3 linked regions of the Caenorhabditis elegans genome follow. The protein of the gene in region 2 interacts with the protein of the main gene of each other region in a pairwise test. Each region holds a gene or a part of one and is shown on either strand. Other genes may lie near its edges.

What was found.
Region 1: the proteins of kdp-1 (region 2) and sun-1 interact in a two-hybrid assay, tested with the Caenorhabditis elegans proteins (one study listed by BioGRID).
Region 3: the proteins of kdp-1 (region 2) and unc-84 interact in a two-hybrid assay, tested with the Caenorhabditis elegans proteins (one study listed by BioGRID).

The regions. Positions count from the first base shown.
Region 1 is NC_003283.11:13,190,864-13,196,255, reverse strand, and holds sun-1 (Sun domain-containing protein 1), read left to right. Parts: upstream 1-2,717; 5' UTR 2,718-2,728; coding exon 2,729-3,110; intron 3,111-3,156; coding exon 3,157-3,260; intron 3,261-3,303; coding exon 3,304-3,507; intron 3,508-3,551; coding exon 3,552-3,971; intron 3,972-4,018; coding exon 4,019-4,330; 3' UTR 4,331-4,554; downstream 4,555-5,392. Other genes in the region: F57B1.1 (G-protein coupled receptors family 1 profile domain-containing protein), read left to right, coding at 608-733, 1,007-1,150, 1,206-1,329, 1,373-1,502, 1,548-1,728, 1,773-1,925, 1,972-2,055, 2,112-2,261. UniProt on the Caenorhabditis elegans protein: Involved in centrosome attachment to the nucleus. Required for zyg-12 localization to the nuclear envelope. Together with pot-1, it is required to anchor telomeres to the nuclear envelope in embryos.
Region 2 is NC_003282.8:13,298,211-13,302,427, reverse strand, and holds kdp-1 (KASH (Klarsicht/ANC-1/Syne Homology) Domain Protein), read right to left. Parts: upstream 2,241-4,217; coding exon 1,803-2,240; downstream 1-1,802. Other genes in the region: csn-6 (COP9 signalosome complex subunit 6), read right to left, coding at 884-1,284, 1,337-1,598; micu-1 (Calcium uptake protein 1 homolog, mitochondrial), read right to left, coding at 2,415-3,208, 3,258-3,501, 3,547-3,702, 3,876-3,936, 3,988-4,131, 4,182-4,217.
Region 3 is NC_003284.9:13,582,281-13,590,958, reverse strand, and holds unc-84 (Nuclear migration and anchoring protein unc-84), read right to left. Parts: upstream 6,185-8,678; 5' UTR 6,180-6,184; coding exon 5,983-6,179; intron 5,489-5,982; coding exon 5,208-5,488; intron 5,156-5,207; coding exon 4,327-5,155; intron 4,268-4,326; coding exon 3,825-4,267; intron 3,767-3,824; coding exon 3,503-3,766; intron 3,023-3,502; coding exon 2,867-3,022; intron 2,816-2,866; coding exon 2,358-2,815; coding exon of another isoform or gene 2,346-2,357; exon of another isoform or gene 2,288-2,345; intron 2,283-2,287; coding exon 1,962-2,282; intron 1,910-1,961; coding exon 1,637-1,909; intron 1,577-1,636; coding exon 1,463-1,576; 3' UTR 1,138-1,462; downstream 1-1,137. Other genes in the region: col-9 (Nematode cuticle collagen N-terminal domain-containing protein), read right to left, coding at 1-603, 757-924; srf-5 (WAP domain-containing protein), read right to left, coding at 8,359-8,438, 8,488-8,634. UniProt on the Caenorhabditis elegans protein: Involved in nuclear migration and anchoring in hypodermal precursor cells. Most likely recruits anc-1 to the nuclear envelope where anc-1 functions to tether the nucleus to the actin cytoskeleton.

The sequences.
Region 1 (5,392 bases), on a different chromosome or scaffold from region 2:
ACTTTATACCACTATACCACTAACATATGTTGTAAAGGGGACTAGTTTTAAAATCTTAAAACGTGTAGAAATGTACTTTTTAGCTTTCTAAATAAATAATATAAATCAGAAAATATATCATGCAATTCTTTTCTGGAATAAAATTTTTAATCATAAACTATTCTGACCACTGAAAAAGTATAAAAATTTCGTTCTTAATAATTTTGGTTCAAAGCAGAAAAATAATCCTCCTTTATAGGAAAAAATGGAACAATTATTTAATATTTTCAATTAATGATTGTTAATTTTTTGGGCACGTAGAAAAATCCAATATGTGAAACGTTTAATTCGGAACGTTAACGCTTGTGAAGTGTGGCGCTCCAGAGCTCAATTGGGTGGAATGTCTAGTTTCAACTTATCTACACAAAATATAACATTCAAAACAATTTTATTCAAAGTGCTACTTGATATTCATCCAATTCCTAATCTCGTCATGATCTCACATCAAAGCTGAAAATTTCATCTAGTCATGTGTTGAGTTTTTGAAATTAATTGATTTCTTGACTCCACCTGCTTTTCAGTTTTCCAAAATAATCAGCGTACTCAATTTGTTGAGTTTATGAAATCTATGTTTCTTCTACTCTACTTTTTGATATTTTTAAATGTAGTATATGGACAAGGAGATGATCCATTTTCTAATGACTTTATTAGAAGAAAGAATTTATCTGATTTAAAAGACACGGTTCTTGGAGAGGTCAGTTGGTCTAAAATCTATTTTCAAATTATAATATTGGTGAAACCTGAATTCAAAACTTTTTTCATCTTTTAAAATTTTGCAAATATCATTTCTAAACTCCAATATGTTTTAGATTGAACTTTGTTAAAATTTTGGTAAATTACCACAACTTCAGCTTTTCAAAAAATAATTCGAAAAATTTCGCTGGTATTCAGTTTTGAACCAGTTGAGCTTGAAAAAACACTAGCTGAAATGAAATAGTTGTCGCAGATTAAATGTTTAACTTGTAAGGTAGCTGGTAACATTCCACCAGAAGATAAGGATGGGCTCTATTATTTTATTATCACCTTGTTTGTTATGTCCACATTTGCATCAACTATTTTGACTGGAGTTTTCTTGGCTCTTTCTGTGATCCTTTGGAGCCATTTCAAAAAAGTAATGAAACACGTTTTACATAACTTTTTCCAAGGAATTTATTGAAAAAATTCAGATGATATTTTTCTGGTTTTTAACTCAACTGACCATTTCTGTTTTCATAATGTCTTCTTTAAACTTTTTAATTAATGTACCAGCGACATTATTTGCTTTGATAACCAAGGAATTCGTTCAATCCGGTAACTTTTTTTGAATCAATTTTGAATCATTTTTTTTGTTCAGCCTCATTCTACTACATGTCCAATGTAATCGATTTCTGTCATAATGCAATACTTTTCTCAAACTTGATAATTGCAATACATCGGATGTTTGTGTTCTTTTTCAAAAAACACACGGATATTGCTTTTGAAAAGTAGGGAATTCTGAAATTTTTGGAATTTTAATCTACTAATCCCAGACCGATAACATACTTTTGGATGGGAATGGTATGGGTATTGTCTGCTTTTGTTGTAGTGTCTATGATTATGAATAACTGCCAATATGAATATGATGAACGAATTTTAATGAAACATTATGTTTTGAGTTGTGAAACTAGTAGTGGAATTAAAAATATTGCTCCACCGACAATTGTACAAACTGTAAGCACAATAATGAAAATATCCAGTCCAATAAACACTTTCAGATTGAAATTTTAATACAATTTATTCTTCCAATATTTATTCTGGGAATATATATTGCAATTATCATTAAAATAATTTTAATGAAAAAAGCAGCACTCAACAAATACGAGCTCACTATTTTGAAACAGGCGGTTTTTATATTTTGCCTATTTCAGGTCCTGTTTGATTTAAGAACGAAAAAATGAAAAAAAAAATTTCCAGATTTCATCGTCGGTTTTCCTATTATGCCAAACTATCAAGTTTGAAATAGCAACTGCATTTTTGATAAAACGGATTATTAATACGGTTCGTTTTTTTTTTAATTTTTCCATAGCAATCTTGAAAAATTATCCGTATTGCAGACTGAAATATGCGCTGGAGCTGCAACGCCGTGCTTCTTCTTTTTCACTTCAAAAGAAATTCGGAAACTCGTTTCTGTGAGAGTTTCTCTCACTACTTCACAAGCCAATTCAAACTCACAGCAGAGAAGGCAAACTTCGAGAGCGATTTAATTTTTATTACTAAAATCAGTTTCTAAAATGTTTTTGCCAATATTAGAATAAATACTCGTGTTTTAATGAGAACAAACTCTTCGCAAAAAATTTCTGTGCCTGCCAAATCATATTTACTGCTACAGTAACTTTCAAAGGTGCAATACGTCAGCGGTGAGGGTCTCGACGCGATCTTGAGAATTGCCGCAATCAGTGCGGGGCTGCTTGAATTCGAGGTTTCGATTTTCTGGTTTTTTTTTTCATTTTTCGAATTCAGTTCGGATATTTTTTGTTTTAAGACAAATATAAAGCATTTAAAAAGTTTATGCTTTGTAAAGTGCAGTTAAACTTCAATTAATTCATAATTATTTTAATTGAAACAACTTTCTCGCTCTTGAAAATATTGCATTGTTTCTTAATTTCCAAATTACAATTCCGCACAGGCTTTTTTCATTCAATTTCTTTCTAAACTTCCAGATCTACTCGGTATGGCGTTGCGACACACCATCTCACCGCAGTTTTCGAATCGCCACAGTCCTCCAGTTACCCGTTCTGTATCTCGAACAGGAGTTCATCAGCCGCTAGACACATCTACTCCAGTTACTCGGCGAGATTCCCAACCTGGAACGATTACAGGCACCATTCAGAGATTTCATGAGTCGGCTGACGATTCTGAAATTGATCTGAACTCTTCGAAATTTATTTACAAGGAGCATTTTAGCTACAAAGAAATCACTTCGATGAAGAAGGAAATGTGGTATGACTGGCTGGAATATCGCATTCGCATGGTTCGGCGTCGTTTTGTTCCAACGTGGGCCCAGTTTAAACGTACTCTTATGGCTGTTGTTCTTTTTGCTATGTTATACAAGTGTGAGTCGGGAAAACGTGTTGTGGGTATCTAAATGAATAATTTCAGATGCTCGTGATTGTTTATTCGATGGAACGCATCATAATTCAGAAGGATCCTACGCGGATAAAGACGCGAATTGGGCGTCCGAAAAACAGAAATTTCATCAGACGGTACAATGAATGAACAGTCAGAATAAATTTTTATATTATTTAGATTTCCAATCTCCGAGCAGAGTTTTCGGCGCACGATAAACAACTCGATTTCAAAACTGACCATTTGGAAAAACTACTGGAAAACGTTTTGGAACACAGCAAAGGATGGAAAGAGTCGGCAATCGAAGAGCTCAAACAGATCAAATTATGGCAAGCAGAAATTAGCGATGCTTTGCAACAAATGAAAAAGGAAATCGATGATGCGGTAATTTTCAAATTTAATATATTTTCCCAATGCTAATTTTTCAGAAAAGCACAAAGATCATCCACAGTACACCAGAAAAGGCTCCAGAGACCGCACCAACTGCATCGCTTCCTCCCTCTAGCCAGCTTCAACCAATGCACATAACACGCCGAGCACTTCTTGGAGTGAATGTTGCCAACAGTCTTATTGGTGCATCAATCGATCATTCTTGTTCATCACGTCCAGTTTCTGCAAAAGATGGATTTTTCTACGATTTCATGTCATACTTCGGAACGTTCCAGGAGGGATATGCTTTGCTTGATCGCGACGTTCTATCCCCAGGAGAAGCGTGGTGCACATACGATAAACGTGCGACCTTGACCGTGAAGCTCGCTAGATTTGTCATACCGAAAAGTGTCTCGTATCAACATGTCAGATGGAGCGGGATTGTTCCAAATCATGCCCCGAAGCTCTACGATGTCGTGGTAAGCTATATAAAAATTGTGTTCAGTAACTAATTATATATTTTCAGGCATGCACGGACTCATGTTGCACCAAATGGCAGCCTCTTGTCGCCAACTGTGAATATAAGGAACGTGATGGAAGTTATGACGAGCAAGAACAATTCTGTTCGGTGCCAACAATTCAAAATCACTCACCGATCAATCACGTGCAATTCCGTTTCCGCGAAAATCATGGAGATATGCCAAAGACATGTGCTTATTTGATTCGTGTTTACGGGGAACCAGTCGATCCACCAAAGGAAACGCAACCAATGACGGATAATGGAACTGAATCAAAGTTGGAATCTGCAATTGTTAACTCTGTATCAGAAACCGCATAGAAACGCCGTATTATTGTTCCTGCCCAACTTGTTTTTATATCATTTTCACGTTCCCCACTGACTATGAATCTCAATATTGCTTCTTTGAAATCGTTTGCAAATGTTTTGTCCCGCTTTACTATCCACGTTACCGTTTGTATTTCATTGCTTTATTCATTTTTTATTAATGTGTCATGTTCTGTTTATTTCTTGAAAGTTCTAATCTAAAGTTTCAAAGTTTTAAATTGTGTTCTGAATTTTAAGCACGAGAGCAGCAGGGAAGTGGTGATTACAAGAGAAAACTTCGCATCTGCTAACTAGGGAATGGTGTTACCCCTGCAATCGCTAGGAGGACAAAACAAACTTTAAATGACAGATGAGGTCTTTGGCTACAAAAATCATTTTTTGGAATCTGCTTAACTCTGCCCCAAAGCTGAAATTTTCGGCCTTAAAAAGTAGTCCTCTTTTTGCTCAAAGTGCCGTTTTCGTTTTTTTGAATTTTTCCTCTAGCATGAAATATGCACAAAAACACGGTTTCTTTCGTTTTTTGGTAACTTCGGAATAAATTTTTTGGTTCCTGGGAATCATAAAAGTAATTTGGAAACTTTTTGGAAGTTTTCTTTTTTTGATAAATTTTCACTTTTTTCCCACCTGATATATGCACATTTTTTTTCTTCAAAAATAATTTTTCAAAATTTTTTCAAAAAGTGTTTGGTTTGAAAGAGCAGCATTAGTTTGGATATTTCTACGATTTTGGAGGATCAAATGTCATTTTTAGGAGAAAACCACTGTTGTTTTCTCTAGAGTTTTTCACGAAAAGGACTTACTTTCAAAGACTTCCAGCTCCGTTGACGGGTAAAATAAAAAAAAGTTGTCAACTGCAAAGTTGTTTTAAAAGTACCAATAAACAAATTGTCAATTGAATTTACTCTGCTAACTTTAGCTTTAACTTACTAACGTAAGTTAAAGCTTCACTTCGATTAGCTATATCTCTTTACCCATAAAATTTAGCAGAGTAGATTCAACTGACAATTTGTTTATTGGTACTTTTAAAACAACTTTGCAGTTGACAACTTTTTTTTA
Region 2 (4,217 bases):
AAAGTTATGACGGCTCAAAAAATGGCCTAAAATTAGTTAAAATTTGAAATTTGACCGTCTTGCAATGTTGCAGCGGCTGGAAACAATTTTTTTTTTTGAAAGCACCGTCAAATTTTGAGCATACAATGTCATTATCTTGCGTTTTTAACTCGATTTGGGTACTTTAAAGTCGATGGACGGCGAGATTTCGTAAAAAAAAAATTAAAAATATCGCCGTCCATCGGCTTTAAAATACATAAATGAAGTTGAAAACGCAAGATATTTAAATTTTATACTCAAAATTAGATGGAGATTTCAAAAAATTAGTTTCCAGCCGCTTGACAAGTCGGTCAAATTTCAAATTTTAACTACATTTAGGCTATTTTTTGAGCCGTCATAACTTTTTTTTGAGACGTTTTCAAGAAGTTTCATTATGAAATTCGGTGTTTTCAGTCAATTGTGAGTCTAATAAAGCAGTAAAACTATTTCGACTATTCCACTTTAGTTTGCTGCTGTATTGATTTTCATAACGAGATTTCTCAAAATAATATTAATAAACTTTTTAAGTATGTCAAAATTTCAAAAAAAAATAAGAGCCAAAACTGTCTAAATTCTGAAATTTCGCAAACTTTTCATGTCGCAGCAGCTGTTGTTACATATTTTAGTCGTTTAGCTCGCAATTACTAGTAAATGGAGGTACTTTTTTCAAACATTTTTTCCAAAATTAGGTGTCAATCGACTGAAAATGTGTCTTAAATCAACGAATTAATGCGAGATAAGATCGAAATATGCATTTTAGCGAATTTTAGGTATTATTTTAAAATTTTTGAACCGCTAAACAGCATTTTCAGAAGTCTCATTATGAAATTTTGTCTTTTTCTGGCCTCCAATTTCTCGAACGCACATCAACCCGATTCTGAAGCATGCTCATTGCTGCATCTTGAGCCTCCGCGTGTTTCTTTCCAACTGATTTCCCGTCTTTTCCATGTTTCGTTGATAACTTAGCGATATGATTAACACCGACACGTTCACTTTCTTCCGACACTAAAATCCATTCAATTGGCTTATGCTTCTCCTGATCAGTCACGTCTGCTTCAAACGCGAAAAGTGGAAGTTTACGAGTGGTTCCAGCAGTGATAGAGTTGAGTTTAAGGAAAAGTGTCGCGTCGATTTGTCCGGCTTTCTCTGAATTGCGAACCGCATTGGTGAGTTTTGAGAGAAGAGGTTTCTCTTCGGGAGTCAGATTATCATCCTCCCCAGCACAATAAAGACCGATAACTTGGAGCTCGGGAAACACTTCCAGATCTGAAATTTGGGGAAAAAAAACTAAAATGAGCAAGAACAGAGTAAAACTGACATTGATCTGCTCTTTGAAGGAGATGCTCCGTGCTAAAAGTAACCGGCTCAGCCATTTCTTCTGTCTCCATTTTCAGAACAAATGAATTGATCGCCTCGACTTGTCGTCCATTCTGCCGTCCGAGAATTGCTCCGAACACTTTTTTCACAGTAGGACCCTGTTGGACCTTTGTTCTGGAGTAGTGTTCGGACATTTGCATAATAACCAAAGGATGCAAAAGCACCTTCGAGCTACAGCTCCCGCTTGGTGCGTTCAATGCCATTTCTGAAAATTATTTCGAAATTTGGTTTCGAAATCGGTTTTTTTGTTTCAAGCCAGATAATGATTTGGAAATTTTGAAAATATTCCTGGATTCACTGGTGGAAAAACAAGCTAAACGGGAATTTTATTGATTCACATTGACATAAGTTTTACAGAACATAAAACTTCCTACAAAAAAGAGATAATGCAATCGAGTGGAAATTATTTAGGATCCTGGAGCCTTGACGTGGCTAAGTGGTGGAAGTGGAGTTCCGTTGACCAACGAGATGAGGTTGTAGATGGCGATGACAAAGCAGATGTAGGAAAGGACCTTGGCGATCTTGCTGACAGCGACATCGAATGGTCCAGCCTCTTCGGACTTCTTTCCTTCGAGAAGAGCATTGGCGTAGGTATCAACTCTTTTCTTGAGGATTGGATCGTAGAGTCCGTACTTTCCCATGACAAGGTTTCCGCATTTGGTTCCCTCTGGCAGACGTGGAAGGATCTTTCCTCCGGCTCCGAGTTGCCACTCTCCTGGGTTCAGTGGATCGAATTGTTCGAGGGTTGGTGGGGTCTTTCCGGCGTTGGTTGGAACAGCCTGGAAGCTGGCGGTTCTCATGGAAAAGCGAGCGACGCCCAAAGTCTTTCTCAAAGCCAACGACATGATTTTCCTGAAAAATGTGTTTTAAAATGTGGAGAAAGAAATAAAGAATAAAAAAATGAAATTAAGATAAGAAAAGTGAAACGAACACTTTTTATGAACATAACAAATATAATTTGTTAAAAAGAATGAAAAGCTTTATTTATAAACAAGTATTTACAGTGGCCATGGGCACCACTAATAAAATGGAAGAGGACTGGCGTGATAAGCTCGTTTTCCACATTCCAGAACTGCATCAAACAAACGGAAAAGTCCAGTATCTCTTGGTCGCTCTAAACCTCTACGCATTCTTCTCCTCATCACAGCAACCATTTCTTCATGTGATAATTTTCCATCCAAATTGTCATCGAACAAAGTAATCACCACATCCACAACGTGATCCGATAGAGGTATTCCAGTCACTTTGACCGCAACTCGTTGAAGTAGCTTCGCATCTATCGACATTCCAGCCATTTTATGAAAGTGTAGAGCAATATCTACATCGTCAATGTGATACAAAAACTCGAAAAATGCTTTCGTCTCTCCAAAACTGATTCCTTTCAAATTTTCTCCTTTAAATCTTCGTTTAACCCGCTTCAACATATGCTTCTGTTTCTTCTCATTAATTTGAGCATGAAGAAGGAGAAGTTGAGCAAAACTATCTTCGTTGATAAGTCCATCCGGGTTATCCAGTGCATCTCTCCGTTCAAATTCCATCTTTAAAATGTCGTGTTGTAGACGCTCTTGAAACTCGATAAATTTTTCAGACGACAAGCTCCCCTTTCCGTCTTTTCCAAAGAAATATGTTTCGAGAGCGGAGTTTGTCTCGACACGGAACGACTGGTTTGGCGTTATATGATCTCGATGACGCTGTCCTACAGTTGTTTGGGACATAATAAGCTGTTGAACTTTTGTGAATTCTTCTTTATCCAGCGCACCGTTCCCATCTACATCGAAGATTTTGAATGCGAGAGCGAAATCCGCGTGAGAGGCTGGAAAAGTCAATGATATTTTGAAAGAAAAACGAGTATTAAAACTCACTTGAGAGCAGAGTCATGAGAAACAGATAATCACTGAAGTTTATGAGACCGTTCTCGCCGAGCTTGTAAAAAATACTGTCAGGGTCGGAGAACTTGTGACGTTTATGCTTCTCAGGATTATAGTTTTTAAAACTATCAAGCCCCCAACGTCTCGGCTGCATCACACCCGGAGTGAAAGAACGGAGAAAATCCTCAGGAGTCATGAAAACTTCAAAGCGTCCACTGTCTTCGTTAGGATCGATGATCTGAAAAATACAACTAATAAATAGATTTTTGTCAAAGTGACTCACTTTCAGGGTCGCAAAGTATCTGAAAATCTTATCCGGAGTGGAATAAAGCCTCAATCTGTCTTCATATTCTATGATTCTTCGCTCTCTGAATCCCAGTTTCTTCTTCTTTGGCTTTTCTTTGACTTCCTCTACTTCACCATTGCTTTCAGTGACTTCCTGAAGACCGCAAATTAGAAAAATTGCAGGAGTGATAGAAAAATAAACACGTGAGAGGTTGTAAACCTAAGAAGCTTGTGAGAAAAATTAACAGAATAACTGAAACTGACTATTTTTATCTTGAAATCACAACACACAAGCTGGTATTAGGTGAACTAGCAGGAGCAGCTCACTTCTTTTTGTGATGCTTCTGGACGGAACGGCAACGATGCGCTCTTGATCTGATCCTTGAGCCTGAAAAAGCGGTGAAATACGAAAAACAAATCGACGCAGGAGAGCACGAACCATTCGAAATCACTCATCAGGATAACCATTCCAGCGATCACCAAGGCATAATTCCAATGGTACAGCTTTCTGAGCGGTGGCCAAATATACGGGCGGTGCTGATAAACTGAACTGGAGTAATGGGAATATCCAACGCCGCTTGCTCTGAAAAATACATTTTATTGAGTAAACCGGGAGAATATTGACTATATTACCTGTCTGTGTAGTGAAAAACATCCTTTTTCTGCCGA
Region 3 (8,678 bases), on a different chromosome or scaffold from region 2:
TGCAGCAAACCCGACGATTCCGCCCAGCACCGATTGTCCAGGACTTCCTGGTTGCCCTGCCAAACCGTGGTTACCAGGCTGCCCGGGCGGTCCTGGTGGTCCTAGAGGTCCTGGTAGTACGTTTGACATTGACTGACCTGGTGGCCCCATTCCACCGGGCAGGCCGGGCTGTCCGTTCAGACCTGGAGGGCCTGGGGGTCCCTGTGGACATTGTTGACACTGTGATTGAGTTCTAGGTTGGCAAGGCGATGCGCCTAGTCCGGGCATTCCTGGCATCCCGTGACCACCTGGTCTTCCTGGTCGACCTGGTTTTCCTGGGTGGCCAGATGGACCGGGAGGACCTGGATTGCAGCATCCCATGCAGGTTCCTCCTTCTGACGCAACAACAATTCCGCTGCGTGGTGGGCTTCTCCAACCATTATTCTTCTTTTTCTGGGATCTATACCCAGTATTATAGCCGCGGGGTTTAATATTGCTTCCTCTTCCAACAGCGTAACCAGTGTTACCTTCACCTCTAGTAACAGTGTAAGCTTCGCGAATTGTTCGATTGTGGACGATGTCGACATCTTCGGTCATATCAAACCAGATTTCGTTTATAGACTTCTGAAAATATTATACTCTTAATTGCCGCAAACTTCTATGTAAAATGACAATTATGTTTTGCTAGGAAGAACTTCAATTACTAAAATGTTCAGGTATACACTACTAAAAACTATTTCAGCACAAAACATTACTAATGCTTAGTTTATCACTCACCTTGCAATATGCTCCTTCTCTGCTAATAGTCATCATTCCATTTTGTGCATGCTCGTAAATCAACGGTAGTGTTACACAAAGAAACGCTGTAGCTATTACTGAGCTTCCAACGACAGAGTACGCCACAAATTTGAAAATTCGTAATTTTAAATCTACACAGGACTCCATGAAAATTGAAGAAAATACAATGTTAACGCTCTCGCATGGTTTAGTATATATAGCCCGAGGAATACAAAAGAAATGATCAATGAATGTGTTAGGCGGTATACTCAATTAATGTCGTTTGCTGCGAATCCATCGGTTACGGTTTGTTATGCCAATCTAACACTTATTCACTCTTCCACATAATGGGTTTTAGTTCAGTTTTACAAGAACAAAAGATATTGAAATAATTTATGAAAATCGATAAAGTATTTTGAGATCAGGGGGTAAAGGCTGCAGAGAAATAGAGAGTGATTGGTTTTGCATTCAAATATATTCAGGCCAAGTATTCAGGAGACCGGTAAACTGCATGAAAATGTAATGATATTCTATACTTTGAAAAAAAATGGACACGCGCTAAAAATATAACAAGGGAACTGGAAAAATTTGGGAAAATGAATTGTGATTTGAAAAATTGGCAGGAGAGGGGTGAAATTGAAACATTTCGGAATCAGATCAATGGAAATTGAAAATTTGACCATAAAAACAAGATTAACAAAATAAATTAAACTTGAACAACTTTTCCATGAACACGAAGGCGGTAGAGACATGTGAACGGAGCTCCGTAATTGCTTGTCACCTCGAGCTCCACAAACTTGACAGGAAAATCGGGTTTGTGCTGAAAATGTTAATTCGATAATAGCCACACACTTGTCAAGAATTAATCATTCGGACTTACCTTGGCAAGGAAGAATTGAAGTGGCGGGCCATCAAGATCATAAGTGTAGTCGCCAATCAAAACTCTCGAGTTCAGGTCGTCAATCTGCTTGTAAGCCCAAACGAGGACTCCCTTTGGAGCACTCGACCGGTTCCCTTCTGGAGCAACTTCTGATCCAATGTGCTCATAGCTGATGCTAGAAACATCAATGAAATGAGACAGCTCGACAGCAATGTAGCCACGGGATTCTTTGAAGCACCAGCATTCCCCAGGAAACAGGGATTTGGAATTTCTCTGAAAATGAAAAGATAATAGGCTTGGAGTCAGAGGATCCTAAAGCGCTCACCTGAATGACAACTCTTGGAGAGTAATGGAAATAGTAGATTGGGATATCCCAAAACTTTTCCAGCCTTGTGTAGCTTTTGTACGTCTCCGAGCATCTTGTTGACACAACAGCTCCACCTGAGCTCTCCAGGGCATAGTCAACTTTCCCAGTTTTATCCGTGTCATACTCGTAGATCATTTGACGGATGATAGCTTCCAAATGATTCTTATCATATTGAATGTTGGTGTTTTCCATTTTCAGTTGCTCAATAATTGTGTTGTAGTTTTGCTCAAACTTTGCGCTAAGCTCTTGCTGGAATTGGGCGGACAACTCGGCGCGAAGCTAAAAATAACAAAAATCTTTATTATGTACATATGTACAAAACATCAATCATTCAATAATTGATTAGTTAGTTACCTTCTCCGTTACCTCCTTAATGATAGCATCTTTGTCAACAGTCTCAACAACGTTAGTCTGATGGATAATTACTGGGGCCGGAGTTGGCGCTGGGACTGGGATAGGTTTAGGTGCGGGGGCGGGAATTATCACTAGTTCTTCGTCCTCCACATCGGTGACTTTTCTCAGTGGCTCTTCAACAATACGCTCCACATCCGGAGTTGGGGTAATAGCTTGTGGAATTGGAATCACTTGAACAACATCTTCTGGAGCATATTGGCTGATGCGAATCCAAGCACGAGTGCACAAACTGAATGGGTAGGCAATGAGGAAGAGAATCCAGTTAATTACAGTTTTGAGCACGGAAACCACGGAGTTGTACACTTTTCCAAAGACTGCCGCTACCTCATTGAAGAAATACATGTAGTTATCACCAGCAAAGTTGAACACTCCAGCGATTGGTGCATAAATGAAGTTATCTGAAGAAAAAACACCATTTAAGTTTATAGTTTGAAAATTGTAGCACTTACAAAAAATGTTAGTGATTCCGGTGCCAAATGACTTGAGAAGAGAAAGAATGGAGTTTTGGGAAGAAGTAGAAAAGTTTAAGAGACCGGCAAAGATAGTTGAGAAAAAGTTGTAAACAGCATTTGAAGCATTGTAGATGAAGCTCTTTGTATGGCCAACTGTAAAAAAAGCGATTTTCTTTGGTTTTTTGTAGTGTCTTTCTTGTTGTAAATACAAATAGTGAAAACAGATAATATCATTTTTTTACGTGTAAATGGTACTTGCTGGTACTACAAAAGTTTTTTGATGTTTCAAAAAAAATTAAATAAAACGTGAATGGTATTTTAGGCTTAGGATTCTACTCAATTAATAACTCAAAAAGTTAATAAGTTCTAAGCCTGAAAAATAAAATAATACTAGCATGTTGCTCAACACTTTTATTTCCATTTTATTTCATTCGTTACAAACATTTTGGAATTCAGTTTTCTATTTCACAAATACCAAGTAAATTACTGTTCTGAAAAATAAAAGCTAATACTCATGTCCCATTGATAAGATGTTGAAAATTACTAAAGATTTCCAGCATAATGGATTGATCGAATTTTAATTTTTTAAAGTTTTACCACATTTTGACTGCATACAATTTGTATTTTCCTTACCAATTGCTGTGCATCCGTTGTACAAGGTCTCGTAGCAACCGTTGAAAAAGGTTCCGATAGACTTGTTTGCTGACAAGAACCCATCTGAGCCATAGTAAAATAGCTTTCCAGCACAAAAATCGATGAATCGAAAACTCGATGAGAGCACAGATTTTAAGCCATTTCCAACAGCGCCACATCCGCTTGCAATCAGGTCCCAAGCATAACGTGGAGTAGTGCCAAGTCTACCAATCGTCGACTTTCCATAGTTGTACGTGTCAAATGCTGGAATTTAAAGATGTTGTTTTCTACACTGAACAGAAAAATGAGATTTATAACATACCAATATCTACAACAAATTCCTTCACCATCCATGTGTAATGTTTAACGTGATTTGCAGCTGAAATCCAGATTGGCACAGCTGGGAGGGATCCTTCCGACTTCTTAGATGCATTCTTATCTTTGGTAATTTCTTTAACTCTTATTGCTGTGTTGTCAGATGTCAGGAATCCAAGGAGAAAGATGGCGAAGAGAAGAGCCAGAAGTAGACCGAGAATTTGACACCACGAGAACTTTGATGATTTCTTATCGGTAAGACCAGCAAATAGTCCTCCAAAATAGGAAACTGTCTCAACAATTCCTCCTTTGAACATTGCAAATACCACTTGATGCGCTTCAACGATTGTTGCTACGAATGAGCTCAAGAAATCGGCAATTCGAATTCTCCAAGAAACACCAACAGCATCATGAACATCTGATGAACTTGGTGCCGGTTCGTTGATATCTCTGTATAAATAACATGAAAAAAATTGAACTCGGTCATCATAAATTTAAAATGTTCATACCTGACATGAATAGTCTCCATTGGCGCTTGCTGATAATTGGTCAGCTTCATGTAGGCACTCTTTCCATAATCGTAGAACGTATACCATACATGTCGTGCCGCAAAGAACGGGAACAATATCAAGTAACCTAGCCAAGTGAATGCAGTTTTAATCTTATTTCCTGTCGCTTCTTCGTATTGATAATTGTAAGTTTCTTGTGGGAACAAAGGCGTGGAAGTTGCAGCAGCATGACCAATGTCAAAAGTTGGTTCAGGAGTATTCAGATGACTCAGTCCTCGGCTTCGAAGTCCATATGTGGAGAGTGGTGTGTCGATTTCGAGTTCCGGAGTATCGAGTGCTCGAGTTATAGCTTCACGAGTGGCACGGGTTTGGCGGAATCTTGGGGTAACTGAGCGTTGCTTCACTGTTCTAGTAGTCACAACAGTCGGGGTTATATTTTCGGACGTTCCTTCTCCGAATGGAGAGCTCGAGAACACCTTGGCAGTGATTCTGGTAATTGTACTAGTCTTCACAAAGGCTGGAGCTGCTCGGCGTGCTGGTGATTTCGATAATCCATCAAACTTGCGGCTTCTTTCCAATGTTTGAGATCTTGTCGTCATTCTGCTAGCTCTCTCATTTTCCAATTGATCCTTGATCGAACGGTACTGGTACTGTTCCACGCCATTGTTACTTCTTGTGAGCATTCTGTAAGGAGTAAGCACGACGTAGACAAGGATCTCAAAGAATCGACGAATAGAACGAGCAGCCTTAGTGGAGAATGGCTCTTGCCGGTTGCGAATGAGAGCTGTACGGCGACGATGATCTTGGTAGGCGTAGTAACGAGTTTTCGCTGAAAAAAAATTTTTTTTTTAATTCTAACATTTTGCAGAAAAACAACTTACCGAGTTTCACCAAATACAACAGGTAGTCCCAGATGGTGAAGCTAGTGATCTTGATGACGTGGTAGAAAGCTTCCAAAATGTAGGTGATGACGTGAAGAACAAGGTAGACGGGGAAACGGAGGATATAGAGAAGCTGTCTGCTGAGACTGGCCGCTGACCAGTGCTCCTGCTCAGAGAGTGATCCTGAAGTAGTACCACCAAGGTTTGGCACTTCCCAGTGGTCCGGCAAGGATGGATCGTAGATTTTGCTGTATGCGTATGTGTAGTTGGTTGCGTATGGTCTGAAAAAGAAATTATGAAAATTTTATTACATTAGGAATATAAGTTCAACATTTGAAAATGCCAGGAAAAGTTAATCTTCTATTATAGGTTTCGTTTCGCCTTGGTTTTCTAATTTTTATACAAGACTTGTAAACACTACATATTTAAAATTAAACAACCAACATTCACACAGACTTAAAACTCAAAAAGAAACGGAACCACCAAGAGCTCACTGGTAAGTGACCTTTATTCTTCTTCTTCCCGCTCAGATTCCTTCGCCTTAACCCACCCTTGTAACCCGATACTTTCTGGTGTTCTACTTTTCCTCTTTTCCACCTCACTGCTCAGAACAACACAGCTTTTACATATTTGTCAAAGGCTTCTAGGGCGTCAAGTACAAGCAAACTGAGTTCCAAAATACACAAACAAAACGTGGCCTAGCAGGTGCGCGTGAAACCTCGGCCGTATGTGGCGCGAAATTTGAATGAGAAAAAGGGGGAGGGGGGTAACATACAAGTCGCCTGTCAAAGCATCCAGCTCTTCTTCGGTAAGACGTGGCGATCTGGCGTTTCGAACTGGTGGAGTCAGGAGAAGCTTCCGGCGAACTTTTGCAAAAATGTTTGGAGAATTGCGTCCAGAGCGTGTGGATGCGAATTCCGATTTCCATTCATGGGTGTCGAAGTTGTTGTCGGCTTCCGTTGCGGGAGCCATAGTACCTGCAAAACACAATTTTAAGGAAGATATTAAAGATATTAAAGAGCGGTGAAAAAAGAAGTATTGAAGTGAGAATAAAAAAGTAACAAAACTTGCAAGCATCGAGTCTCTGTCTTTGTTTGATTTTGAACTACGCATGATTCATCGCACCAAAATCTGTGCGCTTTACAGAACGAGCAAACACTTTTATGAAGACAAAAGGGCTTGAGAAGGAAGAAGACTGGGAGACGTTCGTGTTTCTCACGATTATAATCACCTGTTGGTTTTGATGGGCTGAGAAAAGAATATATAATACTGCCTGATTTTATTATGAAATTTAAGAGAAAAAAACTGGCAAAAAAAACAAAACATATCACATCACAACAAATTAAATACGCAACTTTTCGAAACATCGCAAGGCAGAAAAAATTCAAACCAATGTTGTTTGTGTGCTCACCCCGTCGGGCCCTCCGTCTCTTCACCTTGCACACTATACTCGAATCGATATTGTTTGTGTGAGTGTTTTTCTGGGCGAAAGGAGGAGAAAGGGAGGGCACACACATACACGCAACAGTGAGCGTCGATTTAATGGTTTCGGTCGGTCACCCCAGTCTCCAATCGCCATCACCCCCGCCGAATGGTGCAGGTGGTGGACAGCAGATAGGGGGAGAGGGGGTGAGGCAGTGTGTTTTTTGTAGAGAGTAGTTGTCTGGCGTACGGTGACAAGCGATGGAACCGAGTGAGGGAGTGTGAGATGGGAAGAGAGAACACCAGAGAAGAACATGCATCTACGTGTTGCCCTCTAAACACGTAAACAGGCCGAAGGAATTAGGCATCATTGCAATGGGCAACAAATCGGTGAGAAGTACTGTGAAAGAATCGGAAGTGTGTCTCGCCTTACCACGTAACCTTGAGGCTAATTTACAAGCCCAATTGAAAAGTGTTGTAACGATTAGACACAGTCAAGAGCAGATACGGAGAAGTTACTAGTTTTCAATAAACGTTTGTAGAAGAACATGAAATACATATCAGTACGTCAGATATAGGCTATCAGTAAAATAAACCCTCAACCAAAAACACAAGCACAATCTGCGTGTCCACAATGTTTTCCGCTTTAAGTACTGAACTATGTCTGTTTTTTTTATAAAGCACAACTTCCAGATCAGTTACTTCGGCCTGCGTGGAAGGTTTGAATGATTTTAAATTCTCAAATCAATCGCATGGCTCTGATCTCTGGTGTTGTTTTTGTTGACTTTTTCTACAATTTTTGAACAGTGATCTATTGGATTCACATGGTTATGAAACTAACAAAAACTACGGTGTTTATTTACTATAGCAAAACTTTTTTCTAATTTTAACTTTTAAAAATTGAAATCAGGTTCTTCTAGAATATTGAAAATGCCGCTTTTCAAACTGAAATCAATTTTTTGAGTTTTTGAAATCAATTTTTTGAGTTTTTGAAGCCTACTGCCAACTTTTTGAAAAACTAATTCAAAAGTTTTCCAGAAGATTTTCAATTTTTAAATTTTTTTGTTGTATTTTCATGTCTATTCACAGAGTGAAAAATATTAAAAAAATATATAAAAACCAAATTTATCAAGAACTAATCAGATTTCCCATTCTCAAATTTCCAAACATCTTGATCGAATTAATCGGGATTTTGATGGGTAATCAAGTGTTAAATATGTTTTAAAGAGGGAGTAGTTTAAATGGGGAAAACATCAAAGCTTATAATGCAGTGCATACTGAGGAATTAAAAGAGAAACTGAACATTTTTTTGAAAAATGAGAGAATATGCTTGAAAATTTATTATAATTTTAAGTAGACGCTCAAGTTTTTCATTTTCTAGATTGATTTTTTTAATACAAAACTTTCTGTTTGTTAAAAAAAAACAAGTTTATATAACAGTCAGTGCGCGCGAAATTCAAATTTCATCCACTTCAACTATGTTTGTCGCTTTAGAGTAAAAAATTATCGGTGTGAACTTTTCTCACTCTTTTTCTCAATAACGTCCTTTTGACTTGCTTCGTTTTCAAAAATAAAACACAATATTTTTTATGGAGAAAGTTTGAAAAAAAAAAGAAATTGAGCGAATAGGAAAAGTGAAAAACGTTTCTGCAAATAAAGCTAATCCAAGAGAGCAATGAGCAAACATTGACGTTCAAACGTGAGGAAAAAACGAAATAAAGAACAATTTTCAGAGCTCAGCATCTTCCATTTCTGCTTCTTTAATGTCGGCTTCAATTTCTTGTTGTCGCTTCCATTGGTCAATTTTATCTGGAAAAGCACAATTTGATTTACTTTCAACATTCATATTTGCACTTACAAGTGTGAGCACAACAGAAATCCATTCCACATCTAGAATGCACACACGAATACGGTTTTTGACATTTGACTCCGCCCATTGCGTCACAAGTCTGTGGGGTATCATCTGCCTTTCTCATCACATTCCAACCTCCGGGACAGTAATCCTCTACAAACATCGAATTTGTTTGATGGATTAGAATACAAATGGCA